Linked DNA regions of Macaca mulatta. The protein of the gene in region 1 interacts with the protein of each later gene in a biochemical or structural test. Links are inferred from orthologs where the notes say so. Each region holds a gene or a part of one and is shown in the gene's direction. Other genes may lie near its edges.

What was found.
Region 2: the proteins of CLTC (region 1) and HIP1 form a complex in vitro, tested with the Homo sapiens proteins (3 studies listed by BioGRID). The link is inferred for Macaca mulatta from reciprocal best matches to the Homo sapiens genes CLTC and HIP1.
Region 3: the proteins of CLTC (region 1) and TOM1L1 form a complex in vitro, tested with the Homo sapiens proteins (2 studies listed by BioGRID and IntAct). The link is inferred for Macaca mulatta from reciprocal best matches to the Homo sapiens genes CLTC and TOM1L1.
Region 4: the proteins of CLTC (region 1) and CLINT1 form a complex in vitro, tested with the Homo sapiens proteins (2 studies listed by BioGRID). The link is inferred for Macaca mulatta from reciprocal best matches to the Homo sapiens genes CLTC and CLINT1.
Region 5: the proteins of CLTC (region 1) and ARRB2 form a complex in vitro, tested with the Homo sapiens proteins (3 studies listed by BioGRID and IntAct, with this or other methods). The link is inferred for Macaca mulatta from reciprocal best matches to the Homo sapiens genes CLTC and ARRB2.
Region 6: the proteins of CLTC (region 1) and OCRL form a complex in vitro, tested with the Homo sapiens proteins (2 studies listed by BioGRID and IntAct, with this or other methods). The link is inferred for Macaca mulatta from reciprocal best matches to the Homo sapiens genes CLTC and OCRL.

The regions. Positions count from the first base shown.
Region 1 is NC_133421.1:50,364,663-50,369,552, reverse strand, and holds the start of CLTC (clathrin heavy chain 1), read left to right. Parts: upstream 1-1,694; 5' UTR 1,695-1,931; coding exon 1,932-1,973; intron 1,974-4,890. UniProt on the Homo sapiens protein: Clathrin is the major protein of the polyhedral coat of coated pits and vesicles. Two different adapter protein complexes link the clathrin lattice either to the plasma membrane or to the trans-Golgi network.
Region 2 is NC_133408.1:50,697,559-50,701,650, forward strand, and holds part of HIP1 (huntingtin-interacting protein 1), read left to right. Parts: intron 1-1,307; coding exon 1,308-1,394; intron 1,395-1,587; coding exon 1,588-1,695; intron 1,696-2,226; coding exon 2,227-2,363; intron 2,364-2,561; exon of another isoform or gene 2,562-2,823; intron 2,824-4,092. UniProt on the Homo sapiens protein: Plays a role in clathrin-mediated endocytosis and trafficking. Involved in regulating AMPA receptor trafficking in the central nervous system in an NMDA-dependent manner. Regulates presynaptic nerve terminal activity.
Region 3 is NC_133421.1:55,064,071-55,068,863, reverse strand, and holds the start of TOM1L1 (TOM1-like protein 1), read left to right. Parts: upstream 1-1,508; 5' UTR 1,509-1,548; coding exon 1,549-1,606; intron 1,607-4,338; exon of another isoform or gene 4,339-4,366; coding exon 4,367-4,451; intron 4,452-4,793. UniProt on the Homo sapiens protein: Probable adapter protein involved in signaling pathways. Interacts with the SH2 and SH3 domains of various signaling proteins when it is phosphorylated. May promote FYN activation, possibly by disrupting intramolecular SH3-dependent interactions.
Region 4 is NC_133411.1:166,740,566-166,745,377, reverse strand, and holds the start of CLINT1 (clathrin interactor 1), read left to right. Parts: upstream 1-1,754; 5' UTR 1,755-1,929; coding exon 1,930-1,970; intron 1,971-4,812. UniProt on the Homo sapiens protein: Binds to membranes enriched in phosphatidylinositol 4,5-bisphosphate (PtdIns(4,5)P2). May have a role in transport via clathrin-coated vesicles from the trans-Golgi network to endosomes. Stimulates clathrin assembly.
Region 5 is NC_133421.1:6,238,929-6,243,664, forward strand, and holds the start of ARRB2 (beta-arrestin-2), read left to right. Parts: upstream 1-1,427; 5' UTR 1,428-1,504; coding exon of another isoform or gene 1,505-1,527; 5' UTR 1,528-1,556; coding exon 1,557-1,690; exon of another isoform or gene 1,691-3,728; intron 3,729-4,406; exon of another isoform or gene 4,407-4,608; intron 4,609-4,736. UniProt on the Homo sapiens protein: Functions in regulating agonist-mediated G-protein coupled receptor (GPCR) signaling by mediating both receptor desensitization and resensitization processes.
Region 6 is NC_133426.1:136,000,455-136,005,258, forward strand, and holds the start of OCRL (inositol polyphosphate 5-phosphatase OCRL), read left to right. Parts: upstream 1-1,499; coding exon 1,500-1,538; intron 1,539-1,576; exon of another isoform or gene 1,577-1,794; coding exon of another isoform or gene 1,795-1,797; coding exon 1,798-1,877; intron 1,878-4,804. UniProt on the Homo sapiens protein: Catalyzes the hydrolysis of the 5-position phosphate of phosphatidylinositol 4,5-bisphosphate (PtdIns(4,5)P2) and phosphatidylinositol-3,4,5-bisphosphate (PtdIns(3,4,5)P3), with the greatest catalytic activity towards PtdIns(4,5)P2.

The DNA.
Region 1 (4,890 bases):
TACTTCCAAAAAGGGTTTAAAGCAGTTACTATCAGACTGGCATTTCATTTCAAACGTTGCGGAACACAGAGGATCTTCGTGTATTTAGCTTAACAATACAAAAAGATATTTTGCAACTATAAATATTCACTCTTACAACATGGTGGTAAGACTTTTCTTTGCAGAACAATCTTTGCCCTGTTACCTGCCAGATTCTTCTCTCGTGCTCAGTATGAGACAGTTAAGTAAAAGAGAAAAACACTAAAAGCAACTGATTGGCAAACTTCTCACCCTAACTCAAACTTAGCACACAAAATTACTGTCTACCCAGTAGGGTTTTATGTCCTTTAACTGAAAAGGGCACTAAAAATAATTACTGTGGACTTGAGCTTTTCTCTTTCGGGGGAGGGTGGGGAATCACCTCTCTTACAAAGATAAAAGGCACAGAATTAAAGTCTTTCATCCTTTTTTGTATTGGTGCGATTATGAAATATTATGGCTTATACTTTAGCAAGAAAGTACTGGGAAGGTTATTATTAATCGACAATGAATGCCGTTGATACCTCCATGCTCTTTGAAGACATGATGCTCCGGCTTTGAAGCGCTGCATTTCTACACTGCTAACCTACAGGAACCTATGTTGAGGTGGTCCCACGGAAATGCACGACTAACAGTTCATCTCTTTCCTCCAGGAACCTTCAGGCTTTACCAAGCATCCTTACCCTAATTATCTAAATCTCTGAGACATAAATTATTTGATGTGGCTAAAAATCCTCCTGCTAGAATTTGAGTCCAATCCTTGTACGTTCTGATACTCGAATTCTTTAACGAAACTGATTACTGAGCTAGGCTGACACATGTCCGCCCGCCAAAATGTCCGCAGAAACGTTAAGAGAAGCTGTCATAAGGCCAGCTTGAGACACATCATAAATGGCCTTCGCTGTCCTTTGAGCTAATTATCTAACACCCGAAGAGAGTGCCGGTTCTAGTTAGAATCCGCGCGTCAGGTTCTCCAACCGTCAGAAGGGCGTGTGTGAGGGCAGGGAGGATTTTAAACCCCGTTTCAGGCCCCCTCCCTAGGCTGTAGGAAACCACCCACTCTGAAGCCCGGCGGGGGAGGAGTGCTGCAGCCAGCTGCCGAGGGAGCGCTCTGCGGCGAGGCCGTTTCCCTGAGTCACGGAGAGGGCGGGAGGCTGCCCCCGTCTGCCCCCGCCACGTCCTCCTGTAAGGGGCTCAGTCCAAACAGGCAGGGGTCGCAGGGGAAGGAAGCGGCACCCGTCATGCCTCAAGGTGGCCCAACAGCCACTTCACTCCCAGGAGACGCCGCATTTCCTTAAAACGCGCTCTCCATTCTGGCAGCAATCAGCCGACCCTTCCCCATCAGTATCACGTGCACCTGGAAGTACGTGGGTGGGACCTAAAGCGCCCACGGAAGTGACGTCGGTCGCTCCGAGTCGCATGATGTGGCAAAATGCAAAAAAAAAAAAAAAAAAGTGGGGGTAGAAAAAGAAGATTGGCGAAAGTGATGAGTCTAAAAAAGTAGTCCCTCCGGTTCCTCTGTTGCCCCCCGTGTGGCGTCAGAAGAGAGGCTCCGGGCGCACAGCGCCCGGAATTCCTGCACCCGCCGCACGCACCGCTCCGTGGAGGGGTACATAAGGCGGAGGGGGTGAGGCGACTGGGCGGAGTTCTGTCGCCGGGATCCTTCCGCTGGGCTCAGCCGTTTCCGGAGTCTGCGCTGCGCCCGGTTCCGCCATTGCGGCTCTCCTGGCCCGTGGAGCCTCCGCCCCCGACCCGAGCTCTTTCGTCTGCGTGCCAGTTTCCTGCGTCCCCGGAGAGGATCCTGCTGAGCCCAGCCTCCCCCCTCCCCTTCTCCTCCTCTCCCTCGGAGAGCCCGGGCAGCCACTGCCCCGCAGCCCCAGTGACAGGAGGAGACCATTCCCCCCGACAGCGCCATGGCCCAGATTCTGCCAATTCGTTTTCAGGAGCATCTCCAGGTGCGGCCGGGCCCGGGCTGGTGAGGGCTGTGGAGAAGGTGGTAGGAATAGTGGAAGAAGCTGGAGTCTGGGCCCCGAGCAGGATCGGAGCTGGAGGGGTGGGGGGGTTGTCGGTCTTTGGGGTAGGTGGAGGAGGGGGCACTATCTTAGAAAGCTTAAACTGTTAAATGATGTGGGGCTTGGATGAAAGGACAGGAGTTGGGGTGCAAAGGGCTGCAAAGACCAGGCCTGGATCCAAAGGCCTCTCGATCTTGCTTCCTGGATGGCCAGAACTGCGCGTACAAACTCTCTCCTCCCCATTTTGTTCAGTTCATTCATTTGGGTAGGGGAGTGGGAGGGGGGATTCTCTCTTGTTTCTACCAGAGCAAGGATTCTTATCCCCTGGGCCAGTGCGGGGCTGTCACCTTCCATTGCTCTCCTCTTTCCCTCTTCGTGTCTGCACCCAGGAGTTGTGGGGCGGGTGGGTTGGGGAGGAGCAACCTTTTTTTTTTCCTCCCTCTGCGGCTCTCAACTGAGAAAGGCACCTTCTCCGGTGGTGGGGGTTGGGGGTGGTGGTGAGGCGGTGGCTTGTCTCTTGCCTTCCTTGAGGCAGTAGGGACAGAAGGTCACTGAAAGAACGAAACGAGGGTAGAATGGGAGAACGCATTTCTCAGAACGATGTCAATCTCAGAGTGTGTGGGGTCGAGCTCCCTAAGGAAACTCGCCTCCCCTTCCCACTTTTTTTATTTCTTTGGGGATGTTGTGGCTCTTAACCCCTCTTTGGTTCTAGAAGGTAGGAAAGAGTGATACAGAGGTTATCTTCTAGTCTTCTCGAGTAGTAGCAGGTAGTTTTGAATATCTTCCTCAGGATCGCATGGAATTGAACAGAGCCCTGGGGACAGAGCACAGCTGCTCTGAGACCTGCGGGGCTATTTGGTCTGTAACTGGCTTCCCTTTAGTAAGTTCTAGAGTTCTTTCCCATGGTTCCTTATCCTGGAGGCAACATATTGTTGTCTCATCTGGCAGCATGCCAATCGCTGGCCTAGGCAGGTGACCATTGGAAGGCTTCACTGAATTAAACCTCTTCAGAGCTTTTGATTTTCCTGTGTCACCAATCCTGATTTTTACTGTAGCTGAAACAATTTATTCCTATTAATTTGCTTTCTTCCCAAATATCCCCTTAAAGAAACCTGCCTCAGCTCTATCGTCTGAAGGGCTAATTCCATAATGACAGAGAATGCAGTGGTTTGACATGACACTAATATCAGTGACTTATTAGACACTTTACCATTGAAGACCATTTTTATTTACATTCCCCCATTGGTATAACATACATAAAAGAGTTTTGTTAATAAAAGGTTTTAATATTCAGGCTATAAGTAACATAATTTCATATTTCTTTGCAGGTATTACCATGTTTGCACTAGCAAGGACTTATTTTCCTTTAAGGCTTGAAATGTAAAGAATAATAAATCTTTACCCATAAAATGAGTCAAATAATGCACTTTCTTCAGTCATCTATAATTTTCAAATAACTCATCTGAAGTAATGGAATATACCTTGGCATATCTTGGCATATATATATAAATATATTTATGCCAATAATAAAAACACTTTTACAGAAGGTTAAAAACGTTAAATAACAAAGTGGATTTTTTTTTAATCAATCCAAGTTTAATTGCTTTAGTTATTTTTGTTAAAGTGGGGTGGCAAATGAATGTGGAGAGTTGAGAAAGTGCTGTTCTTAAGTGTGAGGGGAAAACGCGGGCTTGTTTTCATACTAAGCTGCATCTGAAATATCTTTCTGCAGACAAATGTTTATAAACCACACAAAGAATCAAGTACAGCTGCTGTTTATTTTCCATGGCAGATGTATAGCTCACTACTAAATCTTGTGGTGGTTCGAGTAATAGCTTTTCATTTCTTTTAAAGAGGAGACAAGAATTGTTAAATGATGCCAGAGATTGGAACCCAACCTTGTCACTTATTGAAGACAAATTTAATACATGTCTGTTTTGTAACTGGCTCAGTTTCAGCAGATACTTGAATGAAGCCATTTTCTTCTCAAATAATTTGAAGATTTTGAATATAAAGCAGATTTGCAAATTGAAAATTCAGCCCTCTGTGTTTTGGATTGCTATGTCATGCCTAAAGTTAAGCTTGCTTAGCTAATATGACTGTGTGCTCCAGCTGATTAATTGCAGAGCGCAAATAACTACAGCCTCTTCCATGATAATATATCTCCTGACTTCATTATCTCCTACCTTTTGAAAAATTAATAAGGTTTTTGTTTTTTGAAGAGACAGGGTTTTTGCTGGAGGTCAGTGGCACTGTCACAGGTCACTGCAGCCTTGACCTACTGGGCTCAAGCCATCCTCCCACCTCAGCATCCTGAGTAGTTGGGACTACGGCCATGAGCCACCACACCTGGCTAATTTTTGTATTTTTTGTAGAGATGGGGCTTCACTATGTTGCCCAGGCTAGTCTCGAATTCCTGGGCTCAAGCAATCCTTTGCCTTGGCCTCCCAAAGTGCTGGGATAATAGGTGTGAACCACTGAGCCCAACTAATAAGGATTATTTTAATTGGCGTCTTAGGTCTCTGACCTCTGAGCTTCTACCAGTTTGCTAAGTAGCAGAAAATTTTCTGAAACACGTAGGATTAAAAACTGGAAACAAGAAATGAGGAACTTAAGTATGAGTATAGTTAGCTTGTAAAACTGTAAATGAACTTATTTTTATACCCTTTAACTGCATTATCCAACTGAAGGATCTGTTGTCATCAAGGCATGCACCTACAGCAAATGAATGTCAATAAATGAAGATTTTTTTCCTAGACTGTTTAGACTGATAGCGGTTAATAAATGAGTGCCTATTTGAGCAAGATATTGTTGGAATTGCAGATTCTATAAAAATCCTAGGCTACATATATAAAATATT
Region 2 (4,092 bases), on another chromosome or scaffold:
TGAGACTTAGCTCAGGGGCTCTCAGCCCCACAGCATGTCAGCATTAGCTTACGGGTGCCCAGGCCCCATCCTAGATCAGTTACATTTGGAAACTCTGTGCATTAGAACCTGTACACTAGTATTTTCTTTTTTTTTTTTTTTTTTCTTTTTGAGATAGGGTCTTACCCTGTTGCCCAGGCTGGAGTGCAGTGCGGTGGGTCACTGCAACCTCCACTTCCTGGGCTCACACAATCCTCCCCACTCAGTCTCCCAAGTAGCTGGGACTATAGGCACGCAACACCACGCCCAGCTAGTTTTTGGTTGGGGTTTGTTGCTCAGACTGGTCTTGAAGACCTGGGCTCAGGCTATCCATCCACCTTGGCCTCCCAAAGTGCTGGGATTACAGGCGTGAGCCACCGCACCAGGCCCAGCAGTAGTATTTTCTAAAGCCCCCAGGTGTGATAGCCACTGCTTTTTTTTTTTTTTTTTTTTCTTTGAGACAGAGCCATGCACTGTTGCCCAGGCTGGAGTGCAGTGACGCGATCTTGGCTCACTGCAAGCTCTGCCTCCTGGGTTCACGCCATTCTCCTGCCTCAGCCTCCCAAGTAGCTGGGACTACAGGCAAGAGCCATCACGCCCGGCTAATTTTTTGTACTTTTTTTTTTTTTTTTTTTAAGACGGAGTCTTGCTCTGTCGCCCAGGCTGGAGTGCAGTGGCCGGATCTCAGCTCACTGCAAGCTCCGCCTCCCGGGTTCACGCCATTCTCCTGCCTCAGCCTCCCGAGTAGCTGGGACTACAGGCGTCCGCCACATCGCCCGGCTAGTTTTTTGTTATTTTTTAGTAGAGACGGGGTTTCACCATGTTAGCCAGGATGGTCTCGATCTCCTGACCTCGTGATCCACCCATCTCGGCCTCCCAAAGTGCTGGGATTACAGGCTTGAGCCACCGCGCCCGGCCAATTTTTTGTACTTTTAGTAGAGATGGGGTTTCACCGTGTTAGCCAGGATGGTCTCGATCTCCTGACCTTGTGATCTGCCCGCCTCGGCCTCCCGAAGTGCTGGGATTACAGGCATGAGCCACCGCGCCTGGCCGATAGCCACTGCTTTAGACAGTGGGTCACACTGATAAAACATCCACCAGGAGCAGACAATTCTGTGTTTCTCTAAGGAAAAAACTATGGTCTGAGTCAAGAGGTGATTACTCATGAACTTCACGTCTAGGCAAGAAGCTTACCCACTAGGTAAGCTCCTCTATTCAGTGCTTAATTAACGAGGATGAAGCCAGCTATGAGAACTTGCTGTGACTTTACCCTGTGTTCCCTCTCACAGATCACCTCCTCTCCACAGTCACGTCCATTTCCAGCTGCATTGAACAACTGGAGAAAAGCTGGAGCCAGTATCTGGCCTGCCCGGAAGGTAAGAATGGCCAAGGATAGTCTCTGTCATTAGTGACAGCTGGACAGGGTTGAGAAGCACCTGAATGCAGAAATGGTGACAGGTTCCTCTGCATCAAGAAAGGCGTGTAGACAACTCATAAAATAGGGGAGGAAAGGGTATGAAAGTGACACCATCAACCAGACCTGAGAAACTTCCTTTCCAATCCTGGCAGACATCAGTGGACTTCTCCATTCCATAACCCTGCTGGCCCACTTGACCAGCGACGCCATTTCTCATGGTGCCAGCACCAGCCTCAGAGCCCCACCTGAGCCTGCCGACTGTGAGTACCAGGGCATAAGGGGCTGTTCATGGACCGGGGGAGCTGGGGGCCTTTAAAAGTCTCTGTTGGGCCGGGTGCAGTGGCTCATGCCTGTAACCCCAGCACTTTGGGAGGCTGAGGCAGGCGGATCACTTGAGGTCGGGAGTTCAAGAACAGCCTGGCCAACATGACGAAACCCCGTCTCTACTAAAAATACAAAAATGACTGGCCAGGTGCAATGGTTCACGCCTGTAATCACTGTAATACTTTAGGAGGACGAGGCGGGCAGATCACCTGAGGTCAGGAGTTCGAGACCAGCCTGGCCAACATGGCAAAACCCCGTCTCTACTAAAAATACAAAAATTAGCCGGGCACAGTGGTGCACCTGTAATCCCAGCTACTCGGGAGGCTGAGGCAGGAGAATCGCTTGAACTCAGGAGGCGGAGTTTGCCATGAGCCGAGATTGCACCAGCGCACTCCAGCCTGAGCAACAAGAGCGAGACTCTGTCTCAAAAGAAAAAAAAAAAGGTGTCTATTGCCTTGTATCTCCAGCACTGACCGAGGCCTGTAAGCAGTACGGCAGGGAAACCCTCGCCTACCTGGCCGCCCTGGAGGAAGAGGGAACCCTTGAGAATGCTGACAGCACAGCCATGAGGAACTGCCTGAGCAAGATCAAGGCCATCGGCGAGGTACTTGCAGTAGTATCATTGAGGAGCGTTGTTATTCTGGGTGTGCATGCTGGTGAATGGCCAGGGAATCAGTGATGTTCTGAGCTAGTTCTTTCTGCACTTACAACTTGATTCTAGAAAGAGATTGTTAAAATTGGAAAATCCAGGCCGGGCACGGTGGCTCAAGCCTGTAATCCCAGTAATTTGGGAGGCCGAGACGGGTGGATCACGAGGTCAGGAGATCGAGACCATCCTGGCTAACACGGTGAAACCCCGTCTCTACTAAAAAATACACACAAAAAAAAACTAGCCAGGCGAGGTGGCGGGCGCCTGTAGTCCCAGCTACTCGGGAGGCTGAGGCAGGTGAATGACGTGAACCTGGGAGGCGGAGCTTGCAGTGAGCTGAGATCCAGTCACCGCACTCCAGCCTGGGCGACAGAGAGAGACTCCGTCTCAAAAAAATAAATAAATAAAAATAAAATTGGAAAATCTGGCCAGGTGCAGTGACTTATGCCTGTAATCCCAGCACTTTGGGAGGCTGAGGCGGGCAGATCACTTGAGATCAGGAGTTGGAGACGAGCCTGGCCAACAGGGTGAAACCCTGTGTCTTCTAAAAATACAAAGATTAGCCCAGTGTGGTGGCGCATGTCTGTAATCCCAGGTACTTGGGAGGCCAAGGCAGGAGAATTGCTTGAACCGGGGAGGTGGAGGTTGCAGTGAGCCGAGATCACGCCATTGCACTCCAGCCTGGGCATAAGAGCGAGATCCATCTCAAAAAAAAAAAAAAATAGGATCACTTGAGCCCAGAAGTTTGAGACAGGCCTGGGCAACAAAATGAGACCCTGTCTCTTTCAAAATAAAAAATAAAAAATAATTTAAAAAGAGAAAACCTCCTGAAGGACTTTCCAGCTATATTTAATTCACTGGCTGTTAGCTGAGAATCTGCTGTGTTCTCATCATTACACTAGGCAATATCGAAGAAGTATAGGCAGCTCCCCTGTCTCTGAGGATTTTTATCTAGATGGCCAGGTAATACCCAAAATGGACATAACACTGTATTTATTCATTTACTAAAGATGTAGTGGCCGAGCACGGTGGCTCACACCTGTAATCCCTGCACTTTGGGAGGCCGAGGCAGGAGGATCACTTGAGGCCAGGAGTTCAAGATCAGCCTAGGCAACATAGTGAGACCCTGTCTCTACAAAATAAAATTTAAAAAAAAATTAGACAGGCGGCCGGGCGCGGTGGCTCAAGCCTGTAATCCCAGCACTTTGGGAGGCCGAGACGGGCGGATCACAAGGTCAGGAGATCGAGACCATCCTGGCTAACATGGTGAAACCCCGTCTCTACTAAAAATACAAAAAAACTAGCCGGGCGAGGTGGCGGGCGCCTGTAGTCCCAGCTACTCGGGAGGCTGAGGCAGGAGAATGGCGTAAACCCGGGAGGCGGAGCTTGCAGTGAGCTGAGATCCGGCCACTGCACTCCAGCCTGGGCGACAGAGCGAGACTCCGTCTCAAAAAAAAAAAAAAAAAAAAAAATTAGACAGGCGTGATGTCACGCACCTGTAGTCCCAGCTACTCGGGAGGCTGAGGCAGGAGGATCGCTTGAGCCCAGGAGTTGGAGGCCACACTGAGCTATGATTGTGCCACTGCACTCCAGCCTGGGCAACAGAGCAAGACCCTGCCTCTGCTATAAATAAGTAGTCAATATGTCCTGTATACCAGAAATTGGGTTAAATGTATATAGGGAC
Region 3 (4,793 bases), about 4.7 Mb from region 1:
GCAAAACACTTTGCTAGAGGCTGTAGCATGGAATACAGATTAGGTTGGTGATGTCACAAAAGAGGGTTTCAACAGTGTCAGCAGAGGCTGTTAGTGATGACTAAGGAAGTTGATAAATGGCACCATCTGAAATAGTTACTCGCCCTGAATAGGCAGGTGGAGAATATTAGCTACAGATGAGACAAATCCCATTATGAGAAATATCATCACAACAAGAATATTTCATTCCAGATTTTAGAATCCCAGGTTTTGGCTCACTTCGGTCAAGAAAAACTATAAATAATTGAGTTCGAGATAAATAATTAAATGTTAGCCTCTTGGAGTGCATGGCAATTGGTTTTGATCTCTATATTAAAATTCACAAGACCACGGACATAAGTCAAAACAGGTCCCCTTCGTCTCCCTAGTCACCATATCCAGGGCTAAAAAACAAACTTGAAATGGGTGCCAGTTAGACTATAGGAAACAGGATCTACAAGCACCAGGAGCTCATCTATGGCTATCTGACATGGCCTGGGGACGCATCACTCTCTGGCAGCTGGAGATTGTTAACATCGCCAATTCAATGTTAATTGAATGCAAAGGAATAAGAAATAAATTCTGGTTCCCAAAGGGCAGCTGGAAAGGTGTTGGGCTTCTCAAACTCAGGCCTAAAACCAAGCATCCTCCTTGCCAGAGGAAACGGAAAGCCCCTCCCCCATTTTTAGAATCAGGCTGGAAAACACGGCTCCCAGAAAGTGGGGTTAGAAAACAAGAGCTTGCGTGGCGGCGCCCTGTGGTCCCTCGAGGAAACAGGAGAGACACAAAGAGGGCCTGCTCCTGGGAAGCCCTAACTTCGAACCCAATCCTTCCTCCTAGACATTACCTACAGCTTCAAAGGGCAGGGCGCACACCTCCCCTCCCGCATCTGTAGGGCGAAGGCAGGTCGAGGGTAAACATTTCTAGTTATTCAATTTATTCAGTGGTTAACTATTTTGTGGGTACCAGACACCGACCTAATCGGTTTACGTCCTTCCCTTAATTCTCACAATTCTGAATTTGTGTTATTAACCCCTTATTATCTTTGGTCTACCAAGGGCAGCCAAAGAGGCGCAGAGAAGAGTGACAATCTGCCTAGCAAGCGGCGGGATCAAAGCCTGGGTCTCTACTTCCCAAGCTGGAGATCTTGGGCTTCCTGCTCCTCCTGCGCGGGGCGAAAAGCCCACCTGGGATCCGAGCGGGCGGCCGCGCCACTCTCGCAGGCTCCATACGCCCACCGCTGCCCGCCTGTACCACCTGCAGCGGGCAGCGACGCCTCCTTGCCGGTCCCGCAGGGCGCGCTGCAGGTGCGCGGGGCGTCCCGAAGCCCCGCCCTAGCGTCCCTGCCCCGCGCCCCGCTCCTCACGCTCGGTACCCGCGCCCCGCAGCGGCAGCGCACAACGCACCGCCTCCGCCAGAGCCAGGGAAGCGCTCGGGCGAAGAGGAGGAGCCAAGGGTACCGAGCGGGTGGAGTCGGGAGCCAGAGAGCGGTGGAGGCGGATTTCCTGGGCCCGGCCCTCTGGAGCTACCATGGCGTTTGGCAAGAGTCACCGGGATCCCTACGCGACCTCCGTGGGCCACCTCATAGGTAAGGAGGCGCGGGGAGAGACGCCCAGGCAGGCAGGGGACCGTGGGATCCTTTCCTGCTTGATCCATTCTCGGCCTGCAGAGGACGGAGTTAGTCCAACTTGGAGAAAATCCTTCCCCTCCCCCAGCAACTTTCCCAGGGCACCCGCATTCCACCCGGCCCCCTTTCGTCCGTTTCCTTCTTGGCCAACTCACTCTAGAACCCGCAGTCCTCAAAAATGTACCTTCCTTTCGATGTCTCCTGGGGAGTGGAACCAAACAGGTGAACCGCGGGAGTCAGGCATGGAGTATTTGGGCCTCCACAAGGAGACACCAGAAACTTGTCGGCCAGGGGAAAGTTATTCCTAAACGCACACTCTCTAGGGCACGGTATTGTTATGCCCGTTTTACAGAAGAGGAGGCTCTGGGAGACTAAGTGATGTGACCTTACTGTGAGGGGCAGGTCTCCCCAAACCAGTTTTCAATAGTGCCAAGCTTATACAACCTGGATTGCTTTTCTGGGTAAACAAAGATAATGAAAATGCTTGGCATTGGAGTGAAGAGGAGGGGAACAGAGGAGCCATCTGGGGGCACGGAGGTCTCTTGCAGGCCACTAGGGACTACACCGGCATCCACCTAAAAGATTTCTCTCTCCTCCGAATGTACCTTGCATGATGTATGTAGAAGCCAGTGATTGGACTCTTACAAGCACCAGCTCACTGCTCCCTCTTTTCCCTGATTCCTCCCTTGGGAATTGGGTGTGGCACGAGTGCATATTAATGCCAGGCAAAGTGTGATGATGTCAGGAACTTAGTGGGGTGATGAAATCTTGAGAACCTAGTAGTTGTAGTAAAGAGGCCGAGATTTGGAAAATTTAGCTCACAGCTCTACTAACTGCCGTGACACCGAACACACCACTTAAACAGAACCTTAGTTTACACATCCTTATAAAATGGTCAGAGTAGCTACCATTGAGGAGATGCTTTCCCTTGATGGCTGTGCTTTGTTGGATATTAGAATGAACCCTGAGCAGAAATGGGTTCCGACTGTATCTTCATAGGCAAAAGAAACTTCAGCAATTCATCTGCTTAATTTTTTAATTCTGTAAACATGGACTAACTGTCAGCTATGTGTCTGGACCTGGATCAGGCACTGGTAAGGCCAAGGTGAGACGTGATCTCAAACCTGAGGGAACTCATTTTCTTGTAGGGAAGACCGCACGGTTTTGTGCCGCACCTTTGCAATGCAAGAAAATGCAAAACACACAAAACTTACCGGAAGGGAGAAATGAATTCTACTGTGGCTTTTGAAGGGTGAATGGGAGTTTTCTAGGAAGATAAGCTTTGTCCATTTGGTGCCAAATTCAAGTTTTGTTTGTTTTTTGTTTTTTGCTTTTTTTTTTTTTTTTTCTTTTTTTTGAGTGTCGCTCTGTCACCCAGGCTAGAGTGCAGTAGCTCTCGGCTCACTGCAACATCCGCCTCCCGGGTTCAAGCAATTCTCCTTTCTCAGCCTCCCGAGTAGCTGGGACTACAGGTGCACGTCACCACGCCCAGCTAATTTTTGTATTTTTAGTAGAGATGGAGTTTCACCATACTGACCGGGCTGGTCTCGACCTCCTGACCTCAGGTGATCCACCCGCCTCGGCCTCCCAAAGTGATTGGGATTACAGGCGTGAGCCACCGCACCCGGCCTCAAGTGGTTCTTTTCCTTGATTGAAAGCAAGCCAAACTTTGGGGTTCCCCGAAACAAGTCCTTATTCTTTCTTTCCCTTCTCTATCCTTTTTGGTTTTTTCTCCATTTCCCCCAGAACCCCGTGTTTTCATTCTTAGGGATCTTATCCTTCTCTTAGGAAGATGTTAGCGCATTCATGTTGAGTGTTCCATTACCCTTTCCAGGTAACATCTTGTATTGCCTGATTATCTAATGATAGGGTTCCAAGTGCAGAAACATTCTGGTCAGCCTGGTGCAGCTGTGGTTAGTTTAGATGCTTGTTATTATTAGTTTGGATAGTTACTCAGTGCCAGTTTGAAACAATTAACACTGATAGTAAAAGTGTATGCAATGGAAGTTTTTACGTAGTCGAGATAAGCAGTGTCTTTGCAAGTATTGGTTGAAGTTATAATAATTGGTAAAATTAGAAGGAATCGTGAGATTAAGATGATAGGAGAATAAATATGTTACTATTATTTGGAGTTATGCCAATATTTTGGCTCCTAAGACCAACGGATTACTTCTCTCCTTTAAAAATTCTTTCCTCCTGTCCCCCCAGAGAATAAATTATTTTTAAAAACAAACAGTGAGACCAAACAACGTAGATTTGAATGCCAATTCTACTTCATACTGACTGTATGACTTTGGTAATTTCCTAACCTCTCTCAACTTCTGTCTCATCATCTCTAACAGTGGGTTAAATGAGATTGCATATGATAAAATACGTAGCACTATGCAGTTCACCTTGTAGGTAGCTGCTCACTAAGCCCTAGTTCCCTTGTCTGAAAGCCAGGCAGGTGGAGATTTAGCTGGCCTGGCCTGGGCCTGTGGCCAGGTATTGTGCTTGCAGTCTTTATTAATAGATCACTCATTACTGTTGCTGCAACAGCACTCTGAACTTGGGTTCTGATTGATTCCTGAATTACTGAGAACGGTTCCAAAAAAAATCACTTTGCCCTTTGGCAATATACACTTAATGACACTTGCTAGTGCAGCCTAGGCAGATTATTTCAGGAATACCAGACATTTTTTATTCTGTCGTAGCTCAGACTCAACAGCTTTTTCTTGGCAGAAAAGGCTACATTTGCTGGAGTTCAGACTGAAGATTGGGGCCAGTTCATGCACATCTGTGACATAATTAACACTACCCAGGATGGGTGAGTACAGCATAGTTTCCGTGTATTTGCCTCTGATAAGAAGCATCAGAACTACAGCACGTTTTCTCTTGCAAATGTTTCAGTTTTGTTGTTGAAAGAGTGTTTTCATCATTCATTAGGCGCTCTCTACCTTTTGAAGACTTGTCAGATTGAAATATTGGGGCAGCTGCTTGCTTCAGCATGTAGAGTATCTATAAATCCACTATCATTTTTTTCCTCTTGGCAGTTTCTTTAACAGTTTCAAATTTTGTCACTGTGAAGCTCAAATTGCTTCTTTTTAAAAGATTGGGAAAGGCCAGGTGCAGTGCCTCACGCCTGTAATCCCAGCACTTTGGGAGGCTG
Region 4 (4,812 bases), on another chromosome or scaffold:
GTCTCAGCTACTTGAGAGACTGAGGTGGGAGGACTGCTTGAGCCCAGGAGTGTCAGACCAGCTGGGGCAACAGAGTGAGACCTCCAACTCCAAAAAAAAAAAAAGAGGTGGTTTGACTTGAGGGACCCGGGTCAGAGGTTGTTTATTTGGGATTATTGTTACCTAGCTTCATGACTAGCAACTGTCAATTTCACTTCTTTGTGAATCGGAGTCTTTATCTGATCCTTTCTAGGGATCCTCCCATTTCAGCCTCCCAAGTAGCTGGCCTCACAGTTGTGTGTCCCAGTGCCTGGTTATTATTATTATTTTTTTTGTAAAGACGGGGTCTCACTTTGTTGCTCAGGCTGGTCTTGAACTCCTGGGCTCAAGTGATCCTCCTGCCTCGGCCTCCCAGCCTCCCAAAATGCTGGGATAACAGGCGTGAGACATTGTGCCTGGCCTGTAATGAACTACCGTAGAACCTAAGATTAGCCTTCAGGCTTTTGCATTTCTGACAAACAGATGGCCCCACCCAGACCAGCCACTCCTCTGCTGGTCCTCCACCCAGAAGTCGACGCAGCAAAGGAGAACCATTTTCCACACTCCTCTGATTGCATCCCCAACCAATCAGCAGCACCCATGCCCTAACCCTCTGCCCACCAAACTATCTTTGAAAACCCCTAGCTTCCAAATTTTCAGGAAGATTAATTTGAGTAACAACTCTGTCTCTTAAGTGGCGTGGCCAGCTTCATGTCAAACTCTTCACTGCAATGGCTTGGACGCAGTGAATTGATTTTATCTGTAAAGCCGGCAGAAAGAACCCGCTAAGCGATTACCCTATATGCAATTACCTTAAATGTTTCCTTGATTATTATGTTTCTTCCAATTACCTTTAAATTCCAAGAGAGCTGGGTCTCTAACTGTATTCCCCACTTCTGGAACATACAAGATGCCCAATAAATATTTGTAGAATGAAAAGAACTGTAAAATTTCATCAGACAGATCAAAGGAAACTTAAAGTTGCTTGAAGCTTTAACAGGGGCATTGATAAAAATGAGTAAGTGGAGAAGGAAGTGATGACAAGCATTGCAACAAAGCAATGAAAGCAATGTGCATATTTATCCTTAAAAAACACAAACCAGTCACATATATGCGTATGTGTGCGTGTATATATAATGTTGGCTTTTTAGTTTCCCGTGGAGTGTGAACTGAGTTTCTGAGGTTTATAATAAAGTATTTAACAAGGATTTCAGGTAGTTGTCTAAATATAAAACATTGTATCATAGAATTAGAGCAGAAAAGGATTTAGAATACAAGTTCTTCAATTTTACGGGGGTGGAAACTAAGGCCTAGGGATCTAAGTGTACTTGGACATTGGGAAATAAATACAGCGATGTGTCTGTCGATGAGGAATACATACGCCAATCATACTTCTGTATAATCATTACTAATAACATAGCAATACTGCCTTACATTTGAAAAGTGTTTGAGTGTGACTAGATCCTGCACCAGTGGTTCTGAAACTTGAGCGTGATCAGAATCACCTGGAGGATTTGCAAAAGCACAGATCGCTGGGCCTCACCTCCAAAATTTCCAGCTCGGTAGGTCTGGTGCAGGGGACTGGGAAAGTTTGAGAAAAATCATCCCAACTCCTCTCAGCTCTCGCAACTGAACCGGGCCCGCTCGGCACTCAGGAAAAACTACAAGTCCCGGCGTGCCCCGCGCGCAGCGGCGGAAAGTCGGGCACTTCCGCTCCACGCAGCGCCTCTGCTGCCGCGTCTCGACGTGTCACCGGCGGCGCCGCTGCTGTAGCAAAGGAAGGAGCTGACTGGGGGAGTTCGAGGTGGTGGGCGGCGGTGACCCCGGCCTGGAACTGCCCCGGTACGGAAGTGTTCCAGGGTCCGTGGGGAGCAGGAGAGGGAGGCGGCGGCCCGTCCCGCGCGGGACACGATGTTGAACATGTGGAAGGTGCGCGAGCTGGTGGACAAAGCGTGAGTATCGGGGGGCAGTTGTGGCCGAGGCCCACGTGGGGGAGGGGGTAGGGGGAGACGGAGCTGGCCTTGGGCTAGGGGTTGCCCACGTCACGCCCCCCGGCTCTGCCAGTCCCATCATGGCGGCGACCCGCTCCTTCCCGGCCCCGGGCCTCATCCCCGCTGGCGAGGCTGGGGAGGGACCCTCCCTAGTTTTAAAAAACATCATCTTGGCCACCCTTCTCTCCTTTCCAGGCCTTCCTGTCCCTTCCCCTCTTCCAACCCCTGGGTGCCGACGCTTTGGTCATAAGGGGCGCGTTGTTTGACGCTGGGTCACTGCCCTGGCCAGAGGACTATCTTGGCCCCAGGCTGTGGGCTTTGCCTCCTGGGGAGCAGGGAAGGTTTGGGGTTGGGGGGCACAATGCACTGGTTCTCTGTGTCCCTCAGGGTGTAGTACAGAGAGACCTTAGACCTGGCTGGATTGTGTCTTTTACCTTCTTGGCCTCCTCTTAATTCCTAATGAACCTGAAGTGTTGGAGCGGGTGTTCGTAGTGTAACAAGTGGCTATTGTGGTCAGCCTGAAGTTACTCAAAAAGAGACTCATCCTTTGCTTTTCTAACACTAGTGAAAGTAGATCACTATATAACTTCTTGCGATTTTTTCTTTTTCCACTACACATCATTTTTGGTGTGCTACTTGTTCCATTCGATTAAATTAAGAGGTCATTAAGAAATTTCCCCTTAAGAAAAAAACAACGCAGGTTTATATCCTGTTGATCTGCTTTTAAAAGCAGGTAAAACGACCAGTACGTAGTTGATTTTCTTTAAGACTGAAATAACTTCAGTCTCTTACTTGCACAAGGAAAACCTTAACTTTTAAAATGAGTATAATAGATATAACAGTGGTTAAGTAAGGTCTTCTAGGCCAGCAGGAAATAAAGTTTAAGAATTTAGGCAGTCCTCTTCCTTTTGGGTTTTAATGATTATGCAATAAGTGTGGTGAGAAAAACAGTTCATTTGTGCCACCCACCTAACCTAAAATCAGGAAGTATAGATAACAAACTGTTTTCTTGACACCAGGAAACAAAGTAATTTCCAGTGCTTTGTCTGATGCATGAGATAGAACTTAGAGCTTGATCATATTTTTGTATTTTCTGTGCTACCAAGAAGGCAATAGAGTGCCCAAGGAGCATAGGTTTCAGAACCTGCAAAGCTGGGTTCAAGCTTTGTAACCTTAGGGAAGTTACTTATCCTCACAGTGCCCTAGTTTTTTCTGGTGCAAAATGAAAATGCAACAATACCTACCTTAGAATGTTGTTGTGAGGCTTAAGGGTTAAGGGATTGTATTGCATATAAAGTCCTTAACGTGTGTTTAGATCAGTGTACTTTTGAAACTAGCAAATGTTTTGCATTTAGAGATAAATCTCTTTAAGAGAGAAGCTTCAAGTTTGAAAAGTGATTTGCTTTAATAATTTTCCTTTATAACAACTCATTTGGCTATTAAGGCTTTAGCTGTTTATTTTGGACTATTTAGCTATTTATATATTGCTTTTGCTTACCAAAGATGAAATAAACTAATAGTTCTTTTCCAGATCCAGGTTCATTGGCTTTTTTTTAGTATATTGTGTAAAGATTAGGATATCAACTTAAATAGTTTTTTAAAGGCCAAAAGAAGACTAAAAGCTGCCTTTTTCTTTTTTTTTTTTTTAATTTTGATGGGGTCTCATTCTTTCGTGTGATCATAACTCACTGCACCCTCCAACTCCTGGGCTCAAGTGATCCTCCTGCCTCAGCCTCCCAAGTGGCCAGGACTACAGGCATGCACCACCGTGCCTGGCACTGCCTCTTTATTTCTAAGTCAGAGGTCAGCAGAATAAAACCATTAAGAAACACCTTCTTCTCTTAGAGGACTAAATTTGTGGTACTCAAAAATTTGAAGAGGCTGTACCTTGTTCGTAAGACAGAAATTGAGGCAATATTCCTACTATTGTTGTACCTTTCATATTTGCTTATCACACTTGTTACTAATCTTCATGTGCTTTAGATTAAATTTACCATGTAAGTAGTTATGTAAAGGAAAAGCTATTGTTGAAAAATATTATCTGTCTTTTTACTACCCAATTTAGGATGTAGACTTCAACCAGATTATTCAAGAACATAGAAGAATGTTGCCACCAAAAACTTTTTAAGGCTTTTGTGGGTTTCTGACACATTAAGATTAGAACATGAGGTTAATTTACTGATGAGTACTCGGGATTTTAATTTTCATCTTTCACTGGCAAGAAGAGAAGAAATTCTTCCCCCCAAATGTAAGCATCTTACAGAACTGTGGATCTGTTAGACTGTGCACCTTATAATGCCATAATAGATGTGCAGCAGATCCATAGAATGGCTGGTCTGATTATCAAAGATTTAAAATTATGAAGGAACTTGCAAATGAAGAAACAGTGAAGCAATTAAGGACTATTCAAATAGGTGGATCAATAGAATGAGGGTTTATATGAGAGAAAGGTTAGGGGGTTTAACTGTCTGGTTCATATTCTGGCATTACCTTTTTAATTAGCTGTATGTATGATTTGAGGCAGAATCATATGAATCTCCAGATGTTGCATTCCTTAGAGTAAGACTTTTTCCACCTTTAATGGCTATTGGAGAAATGCGTTTCCATCAAGGAAAAGTAGTTGGAACTAGTTTTTACAATAGCAGACAAATTTTGTAGCCATTATCCTCTGTAGGCAATTTAGGCTGAAAAGGGAAATTTTCTTAAAAAGTGGTAATAAGTGTTATACTTAAATATTTTATGCAGTAAATACACACCATGACTCAGGAAGACTAGGACTTTTAGTGTGTATTGATACCCAGTG
Region 5 (4,736 bases), about 44 Mb from region 1:
CCTCTGCTTTAAAAACCACTACTGGTTCCTCGTGTCCTTCTGCGGGGCCCTCAGTCTCGCTCCTTCATCTGCTATACAAAATCCTCCACAACCTGTTCCAGGCTTCCCCACCAACACCACACAACAGGATGTGCCTTGTCTTTCTCTTTGGAATGCCCTGTCTTAACTTCTGCCCGGCCCGGCACGGTGGCTCACGCCTGTAATCCCAACACTTTGGGAGGCTGAGGCGGGTGGAACACGAGGTCAGGCATTTGAGACCAGCAAGGCCAACGTGATGAAACCTTGTCTCTATTAAAAATATGAAAAGTAGCTAGGCATTGTGGCAGGCGCCTGTAATCCCAGCTACTCGGGAGGCTGAGCAGAGAAGTGCTTGAACCTGGGAGGCGGAGGTTGCAGTGAGCCGAGATCGCGCCACTGCACTCCAGCCGGGGCAACAGAGCGAGACTCTATCTCAAAAAAAAGAAAACGAAAAAAAACTTCTGCACATCCTTCAGAAAGACTGTCCTCATTTGTTCTCCGCTCCACCCCCGCCCGGGCCGAGCGCTGTTAGTGGCTGTGTCTTCTGACTCAGACCTCTGTAATAGCATACCTGGGTAATACCTGTGTATGTGTCTCCTCAACTATTCTAGGAAGTCAGGGGCCATGGTAATTCATATGTGTCCCCATCGATTGGCATAGTAAATAGCATAAAATAGGCACGGATGGGTGGGTCGATAGATGGACCGATGGGTGCGAGCGAGTGAGTGAGTGGATGTTAGCTGGGATGGGTGGGTGAAGGAGATGGAGAGTCAGAGACATTGGAAAAGGGAACCCTGCGAAGATCAAATGTAGACACCAGGAGGAGCTGACACGCTGCGGTGAAGAAGCGGGAGGGCTGGCCACAGAAGGCGGTACGCTCCGCGTGGAGCAGGTGAGCCGCGCGCACTGAAGCAAGTATCACGCAATTGAACTGCTCACCCACGTGTTCCCCCCCACCATCCTCCTTCCCAGACGGCGCTTCAGCTCATTCCACCGCCCCCAACAGCCCGGTCGCCCCCACCGCCACTGAGAAAGCAAACAAAGGGGAGGAGACCCCTAAAGGTTCTGGATGCCGAGGGCCAATCGAAAGACTTAGATCCCCTGGAAGGCGGGAGCCTTGGTTTAGGGGGGCCCAATCGGTTTCAAGGGGTTGCGGCGGGGCGGGGAGATGGGCGGGAAGAGCGGGAGCGGGCCCCGCGCGCGGGGGAGGGCTCCCCGGCTGGGACGGAACGCGAAGGGTTGGGGGCGGAGCCAATGGCCCCGTGTGTCTGCTAGGAGAGGGCGGGCAGCGCCGCGGCGCGCGCGATCCGGCTGACGCATCTGGCCCCGGTTCCCCCAGACCAGAGCCGGGCCGGGAGGGAGGGGGAAGAGGCGAGAGCGCGGAGGGCGCGCGTGCGCATTGGCGCGGGGAGGAGCAGGGATCTTGGCAGCGGGCGAGGAGGCTGCGAGCGAGCCGCGAACCGAGCGGGCGGCGGGCGCGCGCACCATGGGGGAGAAACCCGGGACCAGGTAAGGGAGGTGGGGCCACGCGGCGGGGCATGGGCGGCGGCTCGGGGCGGGGGCTGGGACGGTCCCAGACGAGGACGCCGCGGAGAGGATCTGGGGGCCGGACGCCTGGGTCCCTAGGGACAGCCATCCGGGGCCGCACGCGCAGGTCCTCGAGGATAATGAGGTTGGGGGGAAATGCCCGGGCCCCTGCAGAAAGCGAGGCCGGAGGGGGATCAGAAAAACCGGTGTCGGGGTTCTCTCAGGGATGTGGGGCCAGACTACTGGGCTCTCCCGTGCCCAGGAGTCTGGGCAGGCTGCGATGCAGGGACGGAGGGAGGAGCAGGTGGCTGGCCCCGAGGGGTCGTGTACGGGGAGGCTGGATGCTGGGAGGGGGATCCCCTCCAGACTCGTGCCAAGCCAATGCAAAGCCTCCTGTCCAATATCCCCCAGGTAGTCGCGCTGCCCACACCTGTCCCGAGGGCCGGGTGGCTCCTCATCCAAACTTCTACCTTCCCCTGGGTTGCCAGGAGCAACAGCTTCATCTTGGGAGAGCCTGACCCTTCCTGAAACTAGATCGGATCCCTCTCCCTGGGGGTGGGGGAGGCAGTATTCACGCTGGGCGCGCGTCCACTCCCCGGATGTTTTCTGTGCAATCGAGGCTCTTTCCTTCCACTGATACCCCGAGTTCTCTTTTTTGGTCTCTAGCAAAATCCACTTCCTGTTGTGACTCAACACCCCCAAGGGGTAAGGGGTGAATGCCTGAGTCCCAGGGGAGCAGGAGCAAAAGACAGAAAGGTTGGGGCTGTAGGCCTCAACCCAGAGGGGATCGGGAATAGGGAATTGGTCCTGAGCTCTGGCTTGCTCTGCAAAGCATCATATCGACCCCACTTCCAACCTATAGAGTAGGAGAACCCAGGTTTCTGAGCGTCAAGTAGATGAGTATCAGAAAGAGATCATCAGAGAGATGATCGGTATCCTGGATTAGGGTTTAAACATCCCAGAGAAAGGGGAAGTTGCTGCCTTGTGGGAGGCCCCTGATTTCCGTTATGTGGTTCAAGGAGTGGGACAGATGGACCAAAGGGGACTGCTGACTTGACCCAATTTCCCTCACCTCCATCAAATTCTGGGCCACAGGAAATGGAGAGAATAGCAGGAAGTGTGAAAGGACATCTGCTTCAGCTACCCCTGCCCCCATTGGGCACCTCCCTGGTCATCCCCACACTCTGCCTCCTTGGCCAGCCTAGTATCTGCACGCTGCTCCTCCTCAGCCTGGCAGGAGGTGGCTGGGTTAGGATCCAAAGGGCAGGTGCCTTGCAGCTGCTCCAGGGCAGTTGCCCCAGAGCCACACTGCAGTTGGCCCACTGACTGTGGCTGTCACAGCCCTGTGCCAGGGCTCCTAATGGGAGGACACCCTGGGACAAAGAGGAAAACCAGAAGCAAAGGGGAGGGAGAGCCTGGATGATGCCACAGCACTCAGCCCCCAAGTTGGGACAAAAGATAGGATGTTTATTCTAGCTGCCACCGTATCGATGTTTATTCCCTTTTATTGGTTAGGAATACCTGGGGGCCTCCATACCCTTTACCTTATAATCTTTGGACAGCTTGGCTTTCTGGGAAGAAGGGACAAGTGAAGTTGTAGCAGAAACTGGGCCTATGGTAGAAACCATTTAGGGCCAAAGGCCAGAGTCATTGCTCTCCTATATGCTCCAGCTGTCAGAGCTGTAGACCAGATGGAAAGATGGTTAAGTCTTACCCAGATACTGCGGCAACCTGCCCATTGGGGTCCTCTGGGAATGGGGTGGTAGAGTTGGAGGAGGGATGGGCTAGTTGGCAGGATTTCACGTTCTGCTGTCTATCTGAGGATCCTTTCCAGGGATCACTGCTGAGGCAGAGTGGATTGGAAGGAGTAAGGTGATGCTTCAAAGAATAGGCTCACAATTGGCCATATCACTGGGATTGCCAAACACTTCCTTACCCTCCCAGCAGTGGGTGGAGTCCAGGCTTAAATTGTTTCAGCAACTGGAAAGCGAATACCCTTCAATTGAACAAACTATTGATGCCAGCTACAGAGACGGATAGTGTAATATTGATTGAGAGGATGGACTCGGAGCCAGACCGCCTTGGTTTCTATTAATTCCCACCATTTACTCTCTCTGTGACCTTAAAACACTTAACCTCTCTCTGCCTCAGTTTCCTCACCTGGAAAATAGAGACATTAGGACCTCCATCACTGGGTAGTTTTATTTTATTTTATTATTTATTTATTTATTTATTTATTTATTTGAAATGGAGTCTTGCTCTGTCACCCAGGCTGGAGTGCAGTGACGCAATCTTGGCTCACTGCAACCTAAGGCCGGGCGTGGTGGCTCACGCCTGTAATCCCAGCACTTTGGGAGGCTGAGGCGGGTGCATCACCTGAGGTCAGGAGTTGGAGATCAGCCTGGCCAACTTGGGGAAACCTTGTCTCTACTAAAAAACTACAAAATACAGGCCAGACGCAGTGGCTCAAGCCCGTAATCCCAGCCCTTTGGGAGGCTGAGGCGGGCGGATCACTTGAGGTCAGGAGTTCGAGATCAGCCTGGCCAACATAGGGAAACCCCATCTATACTAAAAATATAAAAATTAGCAGCCAGGCGCAGTGGCTCACACCTGTAATCCCAGCACTTTGGGAGGCCGAGACTGGCGGATCACGAGGTCAGGAGATCAAGACCGTCCTGGCTAACACGGTGAAACCCCGTCTCTACTAAAAATACAAAAAATTAGCCGGGCGTGGTGGTGGGCACCTGTAGTCCCAGCTACTCGGGAGGCTGAGGCAGGAGAATGGCATGAACCTGGGAGGCAGAGGTTGCAGTGAGCCAAAATTGCGCCACTGCACTCCAGCCTGGGCGACAGAGCAAGACTCCATCTCAAAAAAATAAAAAATTATCCAGACATGATGGCAGGCACCTCTAATCCCACCTACTCAGGAGGCTGAGGCATGAGAATCGCTTGAACCCAGGAGGTGGAGGTTGCAGTGAGCTGACAGCGTGCCACTGCACTCCAGCCTTGGTGATAGAGCGAGACTCCATCTCAAAAAATATATATATACAAAACATACCTGGACGTGGTGGCTCACGCCTGTAATCCCAGCTGCTTGGGAGACTGAAGCAGGAGAATCACTTAAATCTGGGAGGCGGAGGTTGCAGTGAGCTGAGATTGCGCCACTGCACTCCAGCCTGGGCAACAGAGCG
Region 6 (4,804 bases), on another chromosome or scaffold:
AGCTAAATGTCTTATTCTCATTCCATATTCCAAGCTCATAAAGATACTCAGCTTTTTTCTGAGAGTTATAAAGTTTTGCTTTTCACATTTAGATCTTTAATCCACCTAGAATTGATTTTTCTTCCATGGTTAGAGGTAGGGGTCTAATTTTATAGTTTTCCATATGGATAAGCAGTAGTCCTACTACCACTTAGTGGATAATCCATTATTTCCCCACTGATTTGAAATGTCCCACACGCTGCATATCAACCTTCCATATATGTGTGGTCTGTTTGGGGGCTTTATATTGTGTTTCATTGATTGTCTATCTCCATAGTATACTTTTAATTACTACAGACTTACAGTCAGTCTTGATACTTAGTGTATTATATATTCTGGAACAAATGAATAACACAATCGAAAAATTACTTTGGGAAAAATATTGTTATGGTTGTCAACAGAGTAAACAGGTCAAAGGACAGAGTAAACCCAATAGGATTTATTTAAAGAAAAATGCAATAACCCAGATAGGCTATCACAAGGGCTTACAATAAAGTTATGGCAGTGCGAATGGAAAGAAAATAAGGAATCTAAAAGTAATTCCATGTAAAATATTAACAGGGTTTGTTGACTGATTGGATATAGAGATTAGGAGGGGGAAGACAATATATGGCTTTTAAGTGAAATGATAATGAGTTAGTTTTGTGACGTAGTGATGTATTAACAATGGACTCTATTAGGTAACAGGTCTGGGCCAGGGATATATATTTGGACATTGTCTAGTTAGAGGTGACCTGGAGGGGATGCAGAGGAGGAGCAAAGGTCTGGGCTTTGGGGAATTCTCTGATATAGGGCATAGAAGAAAGAAGAGGAAGGGAAATGGTAGGATAACCAACACAGAGCATTATAACCTTAAGAAATATATATATATAATATTACATATATAATATATATTATATTATATATAATATATATTATATTATATATAATATTACATATATAATATATATTATGTATAATATATATTATATAATATATAAATTTTATATATTTTATATATATATTGTTTCATATATGGATGATGTGGGTCGTATTGACACAACAGGTTTGAGATCCCCCATAGGTGTGACTGTGTTTTGTTTCTGTGGCCATCTTCAAAGTCCTCAGAACAATTTTGATGTCACAGGTGGCATTTAAACCCCATTCCTTGCTGGACGTAGTAGGGACGCCCCCAGTCCGTCGGGTCTCTCGCTGCAGTTCCGCAGGTTGGCCGCAGGGAGCGGAATCTGCGGCGGCCTGGAAAACTGGCGGGGGCGCGAGGCGCCGCTCTCTCTCGGGTCAGATTCTCAGCTCCCAGCTCCCCGCTACCGGCTCCCGGCTCCCGGCGCCCGGCGCCCGGCGCGGAGCGGTTCCTCAAACGACACGCAGCCGAGGTGGGTGGGTGGGTGTGGGGACTCGGGAGCCACTGTCGTCGGATCCGCCCGCAGTCCGCTGTCCCGCCGAGCCCGGAGGCCGCCTGGATGGAGCCGCCGCTCCCGGTCGGAGCCCAGCCCCTTGCCGTATCCGCCGGAGAGAAGGGGGAGGGGAGACCGCGCAGGGCCGCGGGTGGGGGTCGGGGGCCCTGCGGAACACGGCGGGGCGGGGCAACCGGGTGGCCCAGAGGCCAAGCAGAGTGGGGGAGGGGGCCGGCGCGGGAGGCGAAGCCGGGCGGGGCGGGTGAGGGCGGCCGGGGCGGGGGGTGGAAGACCCCCTTCGCCCCGCAGTGCACCACTCCTCCCCACCGCGCTTCCACAGGAGACCCTTGACTAGCGCCCGCATACTGTCGAGGGTATGGAGATGAAGGGTCCTCTCCGGGAGCCCTGCGCCCTGACCCTAGCCCAGAGGAACGGGCAATATGAGTAAGTAACCACCTGATTCCCACAGAGGAGGTGAGCCTGCCATTACCTCCCAACCCCAAACCGCGACGGGTCACCCACTGTCCTCCTACTAAGGCCACACGGGCAACAGGTTCAGGTCCAGGTGTGAAGTGCCAGTGCTCTCTAACCTCGGGGCTTTGTCCTCAACTTCCAAGCCTCTGGATCTTGCTTGGCAGTGTGGCTCAGTGGAAGGACTGAATGGGCGGGGAAGCAGGAAGCCTGGGTTCTTAGTTCCTGCCCCTGCAACTGACATGTGTTGTGTAACGTTGGGCAAGTCAATAAAGCTTTCTGGGCCAAAGTTAACTCTTCAGTTTAATAAAACCATTAACTGCCTTACCTTATAGCCTTTGGAGTTATAAGTGGGGGAAAAATAAATGCGAGAGTGGTTTACAAAACGTAAAAATGCTATGGAAATGCCTCATTGTTCACGTTACAGACTTGTCTTAACCCTATTCAGCTGGTTTCTCCAGTCTCCCTACCCCCTTATCCCACTTGTTTGAAGGCATATTCATTAATTCAGTAATGGTTTAGTGTAGGCCAGAAACTGCCTCACTTACTGATTTGACTGTTAGAAAATGTAATGAAATGTGTAGAGATAGAAATAACAGTATTTTATCAGTGTGTCACCTTCCTCTCTGCCTTAGACATAGGAACTCAGTAAATACTGTTGAATGATTGATCAAAAGATTATTTTGATAAGCTATCACCATAGCTGCTAACCTCTATTGTCACTAATGCCTCATCTCAAAAGTATCCATGGTGACCTTTACATATCATAGGTCCCTATCCCTGTGTGCCCAAGACACCTCCCTTGGATATTCACTGGCTTCTTGGCATAATATTCCTTCCCAGTTTAAAAATTGTTCACTTAAATCTTGCCATCTCCCAACATTGGGTTCTGCCTAAAACCAATTTCCTCAGTCCCCACTTTTAGATCCTCTGTGTCTATGCTGTCTGATTTACATGGAAGAAATCCCCACTGGCCCAACCTGCTCTTTTCTGAGACTATTGGTGCCACTGTAACTGGATGTCAGCTAGTTCTATGAAGTAGCTCCTTCCTAGGTCCTGCTTAGTCAGCTCTATTGGGAAGTTCATCAAACCCAGATTTCATCCAACCCTGGAAGACTAGTTTAATGAAACTAAATTCAGAATTTAATAAAACTAAATTCAGCAGAAAAGTGGAACACCACTAACATTTCCAAAGGCTAGAGTGGGTTAGAGAGAGGTGACCCTTGAGCAAACCAGTAAAACTTCTGTGCCTTGGTTTCCTCTAATGTAAAAACAAAAATCTGAAGATTGAATAGAATAGCTACATTACTGAGATGACCACAGCCCAGAAGGTGGTCCCTCGGATTAGTAGATTTGGAACTCTGTTGAGCTAATAAGGAAGTCTTGTGTTCCAATTCTGTGTAAGTTATGGGGGTATAGTTGGGGGTATATGTGGGGGTATGGGGTTGCTATATAACTAACACTAATATATAAATAACACTATAAAACTAACAACTATATAACTAACAACTAATATAGTTGTTGCTATATTAACAGTTTATAAACTATATAGTTTTAAATATATATAAACTATAGTTTATATATAAACTAACAACTGATACAGTTGTTGCTATATAACTAACACTCAATGACTGCTTATGTGCCAGGTACTGTTCTAAGCACTTTTCATTAGTTAGTTCATTTAATCCACGTGCGAGGGATAAAATAGTAATATCATTATCCCCCTTTTATAGATACAAAAATTGAAGCACAGACAGGTTAAGTCACTTGTTTGCAATTAGGAAGTAGAATACCTGAGATCTGATCCTATGTAACATGTCTCAGAATTACACTGAGAAATTTCTCTTGAAAGCATTTACTGGAGACACCTAATACCATAATACCATCTGTAATCCTCATGTTCTTGTCTCTCTGGTGCCTTCTCTGACTCGAGCGTCCAGAACTTTTTACTTTTGGCCTTTTTATCCTAGAACTTGAAGCCTGTCTTAAATCTTTACGTCTGTGGTTCCTACTGTCAACCATGGGAAATTTACTTGACCAAAATTACAATTAAAAATCAGGTTTTTTTGGAAACAGGGAATCAAACACTAAGATTCATCTTTTTCAAGGATAATAGATTATGAAAAAGCCTGTTTGACCTTTTACCTTCCTTGAACAAATCAAAGCGTTTCCTAGGGATAAGGCAGAGTTGGCATTCAGGATTTGTCACTCTTTTCTGTTTGACAACTACCAAATTCTGAATTCCATTGTTTTGCTGTATGCCAATTATTTCTAATCTTCATATTCTGAAATGAATAATTACACTCAGGTAGAATTTTTATGCTTATTCTTAGCCCTACTCTTTCATCGTAATTTAGTGGGTAACACGTAGTAAATACTCAATAAATGTTTGTGGAATTCACTTAAATTCTCAGTTTATTTCTGTTTTGTAATAGTTTTTAATAGTACTGTTCACATGAAGCTTTACTGCTAGATGTTCAACACCGTATCTTGTTTACATGTTTTGAGATTTTAGTGGTTTGTGTTTATCTTCCTCAAAGTAAGCTCTTCCTCCTGAACCTTTGATTTCTCAGCCTTTTATCTGGTTTCTGGTTTCCATCTGTGTTTATAGGACTCTCCACTCAACTCATGAACTTTCCAGATTGAAAGGGGCCTGCCCCATATTCCTGTAGTCATGTTAGAATACAAACCCCTGCAAATTAGGCAAGAGGATCACAGCAGAAAAGAAGCATTAATACTTTTATTTCCCTTAGTTCTATCTAAGTAATTACTTATCCTATCCCAGGTTATCCTCTTCAAAGTTAACACATTTGAAAATGCAAAAAGCAAAAGCAACAAGCACCCCAAAAGACAACAAAATAGAAATCAAACCCTTCAAAATGATGACATTTTAATGTCAG